Drosophila melanogaster: one gene and its partners. The protein of the gene in region 1 interacts with the protein of each later gene in a pairwise test. Each region holds a gene or a part of one and is shown in the gene's direction. Other genes may lie near its edges.

The links.
Region 2: the proteins of Cpr76Ba (region 1) and CG10650 interact in a two-hybrid assay, tested with the Drosophila melanogaster proteins (one large-scale study listed by BioGRID).
Region 3: the proteins of Cpr76Ba (region 1) and CG13155 interact in a two-hybrid assay, tested with the Drosophila melanogaster proteins (one large-scale study listed by BioGRID).

Annotation. Positions count from the first base shown.
Region 1 is NT_037436.4:19,517,004-19,519,906, reverse strand, and holds Cpr76Ba (cuticular protein 76Ba), read left to right. Parts: upstream 1-1,574; 5' UTR 1,575-1,631; coding exon 1,632-2,246; 3' UTR 2,247-2,355; downstream 2,356-2,903. Other genes in the region: Cpr76Bb (cuticular protein 76Bb), read right to left, coding at 1-212.
Region 2 is NT_033779.5:18,992,793-18,997,580, reverse strand, and holds CG10650 (uncharacterized protein), read left to right. Parts: upstream 1-1,646; 5' UTR 1,647-1,726; coding exon 1,727-1,802; intron 1,803-1,868; coding exon 1,869-1,979; intron 1,980-2,559; coding exon 2,560-3,444; intron 3,445-3,589; coding exon 3,590-3,795; 3' UTR 3,796-4,221; downstream 4,222-4,788. Other genes in the region: CG46465 (uncharacterized protein), read right to left, coding at 4,350-4,788.
Region 3 is NT_033778.4:12,379,047-12,382,328, reverse strand, and holds CG13155 (uncharacterized protein), read left to right. Parts: upstream 1-1,902; 5' UTR 1,903-1,907; coding exon 1,908-2,531; intron 2,532-2,593; coding exon 2,594-2,680; 3' UTR 2,681-2,715; downstream 2,716-3,282. Other genes in the region: Cpr49Ab (cuticular protein 49Ab), read right to left, coding at 2,988-3,240.

The DNA of each region.
Region 1 (2,903 bases):
TAGCCCGAATGGCCGACACTCGGATAGCCGTGTCCGTAGATGCCACCGTAAGCGCTGACCACATCGTGATCGTATCCGTAGCCCAGGCTCTTGTGGACGGGTCCTTCGTGCTTGGTCACCGAACTGTAGCTGGTGGCGTGTCCACCATGGGGAGCTGCCCAACTGGCTCCCACCAGAAGGGCAAAGAACAGACCTCCGCTAAAGGATTTCATATCGGTCACTTATTCGCTGTTTTCCAATCGGAACTTTGATGATGTCTGCTGGTTCTTGGGGAGCTCACCTAGACTATATATAGCTATCGAAGACTCTGGGGCAATCAACCATCGGGTGGTCATTCTCTTGGCCACACCATTCACCAATCGAGCTAGCTGATTTGATAATTACCTCACTAACTCGTACTTATTATTATTGTTTCGGCCATTGAGCTCTATAGAAAATCGGCACATTTTATTTAAAGTCCAATCCGTTACAATTAAATTCTGCTAGTAATAATTAATAATATCAGATCCAAAAAGTTTTTGTTAGATCGTTCGATGTGTTTGGTATTCAGTCAAAGAGAAGGGAAAAACTAAGGCAAGAACTTATTGCTTAATTTACAAAAATTAATTATGACTGAGAATGTGAACTGATGAAGGCGGCAGCTTTTGCTTGAAGAAATAAGGAAATGCTGTTAAACTAACCAATAAATAAACTTTGTAGTGTTGTACTTTGAAATCCTTATGTAAATATCCAAAGCGAACCTATTTTGCTATAAATAATTATGTGTTTTTCCTAGAAATCTGTTGGCTTCAACATTATATTTATTATATAGTTATTAGTAGTTTTAAAACTTGAACTACAGGATTTCTTTTTATTTAATATGCATGTTATTCCTATAGATAGCGAAACAATTTATGCAAATAAACGTCTTAAAAATAATTAACATCAGATAACGTAGGCTAAATACCAATATGCTTATATTTTCACGCATTTCAAATTTCCGAGCTTAAAGTCTATTAGCCTTGTAAATTATATGCATTAAAAAACACTATCGGTAAGTTAACACCAATTCGGAAGCTCTGGGTGCCCCACAGCAGACCCCCTGGTCAGAAACACCAACCGATTGGACGGTCCGCCCAACGCTGCCCTCCCCTTCTCAGCCCCTTACCGCACCGTCCGTCTCAAGGTCATTTGGAGTGAAGTAGGCGAAAAAGAGGGTCCAACCGTGGAAACGCAGCGAGGCGAGGCGAGGCGGCTATTGCTGAGCAATTTGAAAGCGGGCCACACTTGTTGATTGATTTCTAAGCAACAAAATCGAAAAGCTTTGCGTTTTTCAAGCATTTGAGCGATGTTCACGCCCCGCTTAATGATGATGTTGTTGTTTCTGGCAAGTTTTAATTTGCCAATCGACCGACCGCCCAAGACTATGAATACGAATGGGGAAAAATGAAAATTTGCACAAAAATTCGAAGCATTTTTTATACCCATTTTTGGGGCTCTTACTTTTTTCTAGCCTATTTAGCCCGCAGTCTAAAATGTAATTAATCGATCCATAGAATGGCCAGAAGTATAAAAGCATTGGGCATTGTCTGGTGATTATAACAGTTCCAATCGTGATTTAGGCCAGGCAAGTCAATCAGAAACCAACGAAAATGGCCCACCAATTGAGCATCCTCTGCTGCGCACTTCTGGGAGTGGCTGCTGCTAGCTACATCCCTCATGGTGGATATAGTCACGAACACGGCGTGGGGTACAGCATCCAGACGCATCACGAGGCGCCCAAGCAGTGGCAGGATCACCACCAGGCTCACCACCAATGGGTGGATGTCCCAAAGGCCCATTCATGGGGCACAGTTCAGGATCATCACCACCAGCAGTGGGCTCCAGTCGCTGCGCACGATAGCCACCACCAGTGGAGCCACCACGAGGAACCCAAACACCATCCCAAATACGAATTCAATTACGGGGTGAAGGACACCAAGACCGGCGACATCAAGCAGCAGTGGGAGACCCGCGATGGCGACAAGGTCAAGGGAGGCTACACCATGAAGGAGGCCGACGGACGCACCAGGATCGTTGAGTACACCGCCGACTCCCACAACGGATTCCAGGCAACCGTGAAGCATGTGGGACACGCCAGTCACTTGGAGCACAGCCACTCATATGGCCAGCAATACGGACATGGGCATGGTCATGCCACCAGCTACGTGGATGTCAAACAGGACACCAGCAGCAAATGGGAGGACAAGAGCAACAAGTGGTGGTAGAGGAGCTGACCTAACTGACTGACTGCAAGCGATTCGGACCGACTTAATTATTGTAAATAGAACTACAAAATTGTTAACTTAAATAGTAGGTAAATATATCAAAGTGCAGAAAAAAGCTACAAATCAAACTACTTTACTATTTAAAGTTTTTACAATAGTTCTGAGATTTAAGACCACAACGAACACCGTTTATTAAATGAGAGAAACAACTTACCGATCCAATAATTCTAAGATACATTCGATACGGAGGATGTTGAGGCCTTAGTGTCTTGCAGCCTTTTTGTATTCTAGCTCACATAAGGAGGTTCGGAAGATCTTACGCACATCTTTTCTAAGGACTTTGAAGGCTTCGGCTTGTTCAGAAAAGTCCTTCCAAAAGTTATCATCAGAGTCCGGTAAAGATATGGTAAAGATGGTAAAGATATTCCTGATTTTCACAATTTTTTAATTCATCTACATCGCCGTCGCTGTCGTTACTTAAGTTCCCCTGCTTATTCGACTCGATCTCGATGCCCAGAGTCATTGACTTCGAAACGAATGCCATTGAAAGTTTTTTCGGACCTCCCATTTTTGATATTATTAATCTGCTGAGACAGAGAAACAACGCCTGAGAAATCCTATTTATTGCCTATTTTCCAATTGAGTTGATAAGTAGTA
Region 2 (4,788 bases), on another chromosome or scaffold:
CCTTCTAGGCTTGAAGTCACTTGCACTTTTCAACGTATAACATGCTTTCCAACGAACTAATTTATTAAATTGCAATGCCAGAAATTCAACTAAACAGCAATACGTCCGCGCGTAGAAAAGATCTTAAAGGTACTGAGTGTGAGCAACATGATTAGCTCTCGGTGCTAAATTCGCCGGAGATAACCCAGATTAGATTTCGGTTATATTTTTTGAAGATAATGGCTTTATGTTGAATACCAGTCTGGTTCAAAAAAACCTTAAATGATATGCTAAAGATAAAAAGATATAAAAGTATGTACTTACTATTTGTACTTTGTTTTATTGAATCATTTTGTCTAGACTTCAACTTAAACCTTAATAACATAAAACACCGGCATGTGCAGAATTTAAGAAGTCGCCCAAATACAATAAATAATAATAATTTTTATTAAGACACTGAGAGAAAAATTAAGTTTCGATATTAAATTAGGAACGAACGATAAAAAAAAAAAAAACTTAAAAGCAAACACATAAGTTCAAGAACGAGTAACCGAAATTATAAACTTGAGAACGAACGTTCACATATAAACAAAAGTCTCACTTCAATCCTCAAGTATCGTTAAGATATATGACTTGTAGTTAAGGCACATTGTTTATATGTTATTAGCCAGAAAATTGGGCAATACAGCTTTACATATATAATTGTACACTTTCCTCGTAGAATATAAGGGTTAAAAACTATGAAACAAGAAAGTGTTTTTGACCCTACAAATGTGTATTTATTCAATTAAATCTGGGTATCTGATAGGAATTGAGTTCTTTCTTGTTAGTTCAAATTACATTATTTTTTTTATCAATGGAACTATAGTCAATCCATAATCAAATGGAAAGTTTGTCGAACCTGTAAAATCTGGAAATTGAGATTATTCATGCAGTTTTTGGTGGCGCCTTTTATTTTTATACCCTTGCAAATGGTACATTGATTTCATTCAGATTCGTATATTCAACAGTAGAGTCGATACAGTCATGTTTGTCTTCGTTCAATTTCAGTTAGTATACATATAGGTTGGACCACTATATCATATTGCTGTTATAGGGATAATCGAAAAATAATGGTAAGTATTAATATATGTATGAGATATACAACAGTTTTTGACCATATTTTAATTTGATGAAAATCAAAAGAAAATATATCATATAACTGCCGTACAGCCAAGGCAAACCAAATTTTAATTAAAGTATTTAATTATCGTTATAATTGTGTTCAATTATCCGCCGGCTAGATCGGAAACAGGAAGTTACTGTTGATGTATATTCGTTTAAGGAAATACGGTAAGAACGTTGGCAGCATGGGTTAATTTTTCAGCTTTTGCAAAAGCTCCAAAGTAAATGCAGGCTTGTGGTAACTATCATCGCATGTGAACAGCGTTGTACACACACACACTTGCACATTTACACCTGGGTATTGAAGTTATCAGCTAAAAGAGAACTGACTTCCTCCGATTGTACATATATATATATATATATATATATATGTATACAAACATATATATGTGTGTAGAGCAGATAACCACTGCATGCGGAGAAGAGCTTGGCAGGTGTTAGTGAGTTCAGGTGAAATTGATTATGCGAATGGGGGTAAAAAAAATATGGCCAAACAGTGAGGGAGCCAGTTAAAAAACGGTGGTCGATCCAGCCGGTCCGACATTTCAGTTGAGAAGCCAGAAAGAATAGAAAACCGAGAGCCATGAGAGAATACAGCCTGTGTATGATTGTGATAGCAGCTTTCATTGCCAGCCAGCTGGACAGCACCTCAGCCCTCCGTAGGTTACCACATTTTGGATGAGTTTTTTCAAATGACTTACTTCAAATTATTATTGCCATTGCAGAGTGCTATTCGTGCACATCGACGACGAATGACACTGGAAATTGTTTAACGAGTCCATCTACTCAAACTTCTATAGAGTGTGATAATGAATGCTATACTCTTATTAACGCAGGTGGGTTTGTATGACTCATGACCGACTATTTCATATTCTTAGACGGGGGTAGTGGCCCTCTTATCGATCAGTGCAACCAAAGGTGATAAGCGATTATCTCTTTTTCTTTTTGATAGCTATTGATCCTTGTTTTCTTTTCTAATTTCGTGCGGATCGAAAAAGGTTTATGATGTTGTGACTCATTTGGCAGTTACTGCACTACCTGGCTTTTTCGTGTTGTTGTCTAAGATTTAAATATTGCGTATAATTTGATTTAATAACGAAGAGAACGCTAAAGTGGAGTCACTCGACCATCAGATACCTCTTTATTCAGCTTGTGGGAGTTTAAGGTACACATTTAAACATTCTGTTGAAGTATCAGTAGAATCTGGCACGCTTTGTGGGCTTTAGAGTGGGCGTGAAAATGATCTGAATGAAATTAGCACAGCTTAGGCGCCACTAGAATCTGCAGGCTCTCAACTTATAAGGAATATATAAGTTATATTAGAAATCATTATAAGTTTATATTAGAAATCATACGAAGTTTTGCTCTGAACCATATTCCCTTGCATCTAGTTATTGATTTTCTGTATCCCAATAGGAACTCTAACTCGTGGCTGCTTGATTAATGGCACTGCGTGCACCTTACCATCCTGCTCGACCTGCAAGGAAGACAATTGCAATTTGAATTTGGTGTGCCAGCAGTGCCTCGGCGAAGCGAATTGCGCCACGACCAACGTGACGGATACGCAATACAATGCAGTGTGCCCCAATAATGGACAGGTCTGCGTGAATCAGTTGAATGACAACAAGACGGTGACCCGTCAATGTGGTGACCCCTGTGCTGCTGGAACGGAATCCACGTGCTCCTCATGCTCGGCATCCCTGTGCAATGTGGGACTATTCCCCGCCAATCGTCGCCAGTGCTATAATTGCTCAGGAGAGAACTGCAATGCGGTCTCAAATACCTTGGTCGCGGGATGTAGTCAAATCGATGCCGGGTGCTTCACCACCGGAACGTCTGCGAGCAACATGACCCGTGGTTGCACATCGGCCACCACGGAAATCAAGTGTGCGTCGGACAGCACTGATCCCAGTTGCCTCGTCTGCAACTCCGACTTTTGCAATAGTCCGACCTACGAACGAGAGGCCGGTTCCTGTATCATTTGCGAGAACTGTGCGGAGCAACAGGTTGCTACCAATGCGAAGTCCTGCGGACAGGCCAAGTACAACCAGGAAGTCGGGTGTTATACCATGACCTCAGGAACCAATGTTACCCGAGGGTGCCTAAACACCTTGGAGGCTGGCTGCTCTACAACCAATGCCTGCACTTCCTGCTCCGAAAATGGCTGCAATGTGGCTGCCGGCGAGTTCCAGTGCATTACATGCATTTCGAATGAGGTTTCCGGCTGCTGGTCGGCCAAATATCCGGACACGCTCCCTTTGATCAACTGCCCCAATGGAACGTGCTACAGCGGAGTCTGGAGTAAGTTGGTACCAAGTCTAAGCACAGCGAATCAATGCTATAGTTTTCAAAGATTTTATTTTATAATGTAAAAGGGTATTCCCAAATTGCATTATTATTATGCCAGCAAAAATCCTAACAATTGCCTTTCAACATTTTCCCCCAGATGAACTTGGAGTGCGAGGATGTTTTACCGCTGCCAGCCACCTGATGCAGTACCAGTGCAATGCCAAAGTGGAGGCCCATCAGTGCGAATTGTGTACGGAGAGCAAGTGCAACAAGGTACCCTTCAATGGAGCAGGCGCACTCAGGAATGTGGGCGTGGTCGGCCTTCTGACGGGAGTGGTGATCGCTCTACGCAGTGCCCTGTAATCCAACCACCTCCACGTAGTTGGATGATCCAATCAAATTACCGGGTGCCTGGGTCTATGAGTAATGTTAACTATTACAAAGCAACAGACAAAAAGACATAACCTAATTATAGGAGCTGAAGCATTTTAAGAACACTTCCATAATCCCAAATAAATCATTTTAATAAAACAATTACTCTTTCACAGTAGTTTAGTAATTATGTCCTTGGAAAACCCTGTTTTCATTGATGGCTAGTGGTAAAAGAGTTTTCAACCTGCTAGGCCTTATCAAATAAAGAAATAATCACAACGCCTTATCAACCGCAGTACCATTAATAATATACTTTGTACATATATGTGTGTATATTTATTGCATCAATCAAAATGAGAGTTTATATTAACAATAGTTCGAAGAAATTTGTTTGGGTGCACTAGAAGAGCCAGTTGGAAATGTCTCAGAAAGTATTTGTAGCATTCTTAGGTAACTCAAATTACATTTTCCATTACATGACGATGGTGATTTCGCCGAATTCCATAATTTTGGTTTTCAATTTGCCATTATTAAGCTGAACAGGCCTATAATATAATCATAAGTTTGCATTTTTCACTCCTAAAGAGCCAGCCGGCTAAACAGAAGATCATTAGACTTGAGTATATTATTCGCGATCCTGCATTCGTGGCCAAACCATTTTTATCTATTTCCACATAGTTGCAATCGTCTTCGAAACACCTCTCACAGAGTTCTGCATGTTTCTCGCAGTGTTCCAGTGAACTCTCGTCCATGTCGGAAATGCAGCTTCTCACCATAAAGCCATCTGGTCCTCCAGCACTGCTGTTGAAGTTGAAGTACATAGATACGCAACCGTTCAATTCGCCTAACTTTATGTGGCACATCTTTTTGCCCTTCCTAGTTCTGGTTTTCCCCTCATTGGGTGAGCAAAATTTACAACTGAGGCATCTTATAGGCGGAGAAAGCGTTGTTGTTTCCTCGACAGGTGACGAACTTTCCTCCATT
Region 3 (3,282 bases), on another chromosome or scaffold:
TAACCCGAGTGTTGGCGGGTTCAAAGCTCTCGAATTATTGATCAATCCTGCACGGGTGGGCAACTTAGCCCCTCCATGGAGATGCTAAGTAAAATCAATTTCAAAGCAATTCCATTGCGGCCCTTGTAAGGAGATCCATAAAATAAATTTGTATATAAAAGGAAAAGTCGCGTGCAAATAAATTTCCAGGCTGACAAGTGCGAAAAAGAGAAATGTGATGTTATTTCTCCGGCGGCCGGATGATCAAGATGACATCAGCGCAATGGAATTTTGATATTTTTTTGCCCAGCGGACTTCCATTTCCACAGAACTGCCTACTTTATCCATTAATGCCAGATAAATCCAGTTGGCTGGACCGCAGAATTGTCGTTAAATATTTAACTGCAGGCGCCGTCTGTTGGCAACAAAGTATGTGACTAAAATCAATTTATATATATGACCACGTATAGTTGCCAATTGTCAGTTGTAAGTGGTGATAATTTGCGCACTCGCATAAATTTACGGCTCGAAGGACGATTTGTACGAAAAATAATGGTTTGGCAGGGGGAGTATGTATTCAAACAAGATTAATTAATTACCCGCAAAACACCAAATTACGCACCATATTGCCAGGGGCAGTCTCACCTTATTTATTTCAGATGAATAATTTAAAATACTCGAAACAAACCAGATTCTACGAGTTACAAAAAGAGAACGAGTGGCAGGGGGAGGGGGGCATTGCTAACCTGTTGGCTTATCAACAAGTTGCAATTTTAATAGAATTTTTAATTCCCCGTCGATGATCCATCGATTGCCTGGAATCAATTAAGTGAGTGACCAGGGTTTCTTCACCCCATGAATCATGGAGCATCATTCACTTTAGTCACTTCCTTACCACGATCGAATAATCCAAATATGCGCAAGGTTCCCCGCAAGTTCAAGAGTTCGAATCGATAAACCTTGTTTTGGGGGCGTGGCTGCCTTTGATTTCTCACATCGTTTTAAATATTCTAGAATCTCGGATCTACCGCGATGTTGTGATTACCAAAATCATCGGCTCTGACAATTGATTAATGGATATCGAATTGGATGCATTGATTGATTGACAGCCATTGTTGTTATTAATACTCATTAATGCAAAACGGGCGTTTCATTGTTTATGATGCGGCTTAAATTTGATTTAAGCGACACTAATTACCTTTGATCCCATTGGATTTGCTGAAATGTAAACAAATTGAAACTCGTCTGGCCAATCGATCTTCGTTGAATGAAGCAGTTGAATGTCTTTTTCGGGGATCATCTCTTCTGGGTTCGGGAAGCTGATTCACAAATCGATAAATCCAGAGGTGAATGACTTGCATCGATTTAGTTCAGGTTTCTAAACAAGAAGCTACAATTTTGAAACAAATCAAAGGGAAATTATTTCGATTCGTTGTTATGTATAAGACTTATCCAACATTTAAAAATTTAAAATGACTTTTTCATGGGACTTTTGAAAAAGAGCTAGTGTTATCAATCATTCGTAGTATATCTTAATACACAACTAATTATGGTATTTAAACACAACTTAATTAATGCCATTTGTCTCCTGCAGATGTCGCCCCCAATTTTTGAACCGGCTCCTCCGCGTCGACTTGCATCTCAGAAAGGTTAAAGGCGATCCGCTACTGCCAATGCAAACTAGTTGCCCACTAAGTTGTTTCCAAATGGCTTGTTAGTATGCAAAGAATTCTAGACGGATAAGCTGATATCGATTCGTTAGCCACCGAATAAACCCGCGTCGCGCCTGTATTAAAGCCATCTAAACGATCTCGTCTTGGGCGTAAAGACCGCGATTTATTATCCGCACAACAATCGTCGGCGGGGAGGCAAACTAAAATGGCCAGCGGGTGCATTGGGGTCGAATCAGACGTAATCAAGTAGTCGATATGGACACACGCTTGCTGACTGCACTATTGCTGATCGCGGCTTGCAGGGCCGAGGATCCAGATTTGGGTCAGGATCAGGATCAGGCGAAGATCACGTTTAAGCCGGGCCGATATGTGCCACGCCTGCACGGTGCCACGGGTTGGTATGTTCCGGATGATAGTGGAAAGTACCGGCACGATCCCAGGCCCTATGACGGCGGCTATGGAGATCGTGGTGTTCCCTATGACTCCGATTTGAGCGGCATTTTCCGGAATGCCCAGCGCCAACTGGAGGCAAAGGTCCAGGAGGCCGGTGAAGGTCTATCCCTCGGTCCACGAGATCATCTGCGATTCATGATCGACTTTAATTTCAATGGCACCGGCTGGCAGATAATCCAGTTTCAATGGGTACGAGATGGCGATGAGTCCCATCCAGACACCAAGGAGTACAGCTACTTGACGGAGAACAAGCTATGGGACTCGGATCAGGCCTATGCGTACCAGGAGCCCGACGATGGCTGCCATATCAACTGTCAGCCGGAGACGGCGGTATACCCGCTACAATCGGAGCCTGTCCAGGAGCCAGTGGTGCAGCCAACTCAGGAGCAGCAACAGTCCAGAACAAACATCAATTCAGAGCAGGATGTGAGTAGTCAAAAAATATCTAAAATTCTAGAATTGCTAAGTAAAGTATTGCTTTCCTTTAGCCTGGCAAGATTCATGATACCATCAATGAAGTCCTGGAGTACATACAACAACGAATCCTGCCTACGTTGCCAATTAAAGGGGAGTAAATCGGTTTCAGAAACATTCAATAAATAATGAAAATAAATAAACAGTGTGGTTTTTATATCAAGGTATATCAAACTTTAGTAGATATACTAGAGTTTAGCTCACGGCTCATATATATTACACTTGAAAAATCCATAAACTATTAAGAATATTTATCCCTTAATCTGATAAAATTAAACTAACTTACGGACTTCAGAAACAGGATGTAGATAATTGAAAGTATTTGGTCCTCTTGATTGAAACACCTTTGAATTCCTATGGCACATCAATTTATTCAATTTAAAATGTATACACTTGTAAAATCCAACTTTATTTCTTCGTCTTGGCATTTGCTTCCAAAAAGGCGAGTAACTTTTCCACATAGGGCGGTGGTGGTGGCGCTGTGGGCAGGTGGGCGGCACTTGGCACAAAGCCATTGTCGTCTGCTACATAGTCCACGCGGTAGAGGATGCCGTCGGGTCCAGTGTACTCGTAGAATCCCTTGGAACGAAGTCCCTCCTCCTCGGTCAGCTTTTCGATGCGTCCACTTTCCTCGCCTAAGATGCCGTTCTCAGTTTCCCAACTAAAAAGCATGGTTTTAAAATGCGTCACATTGAAAGTTACA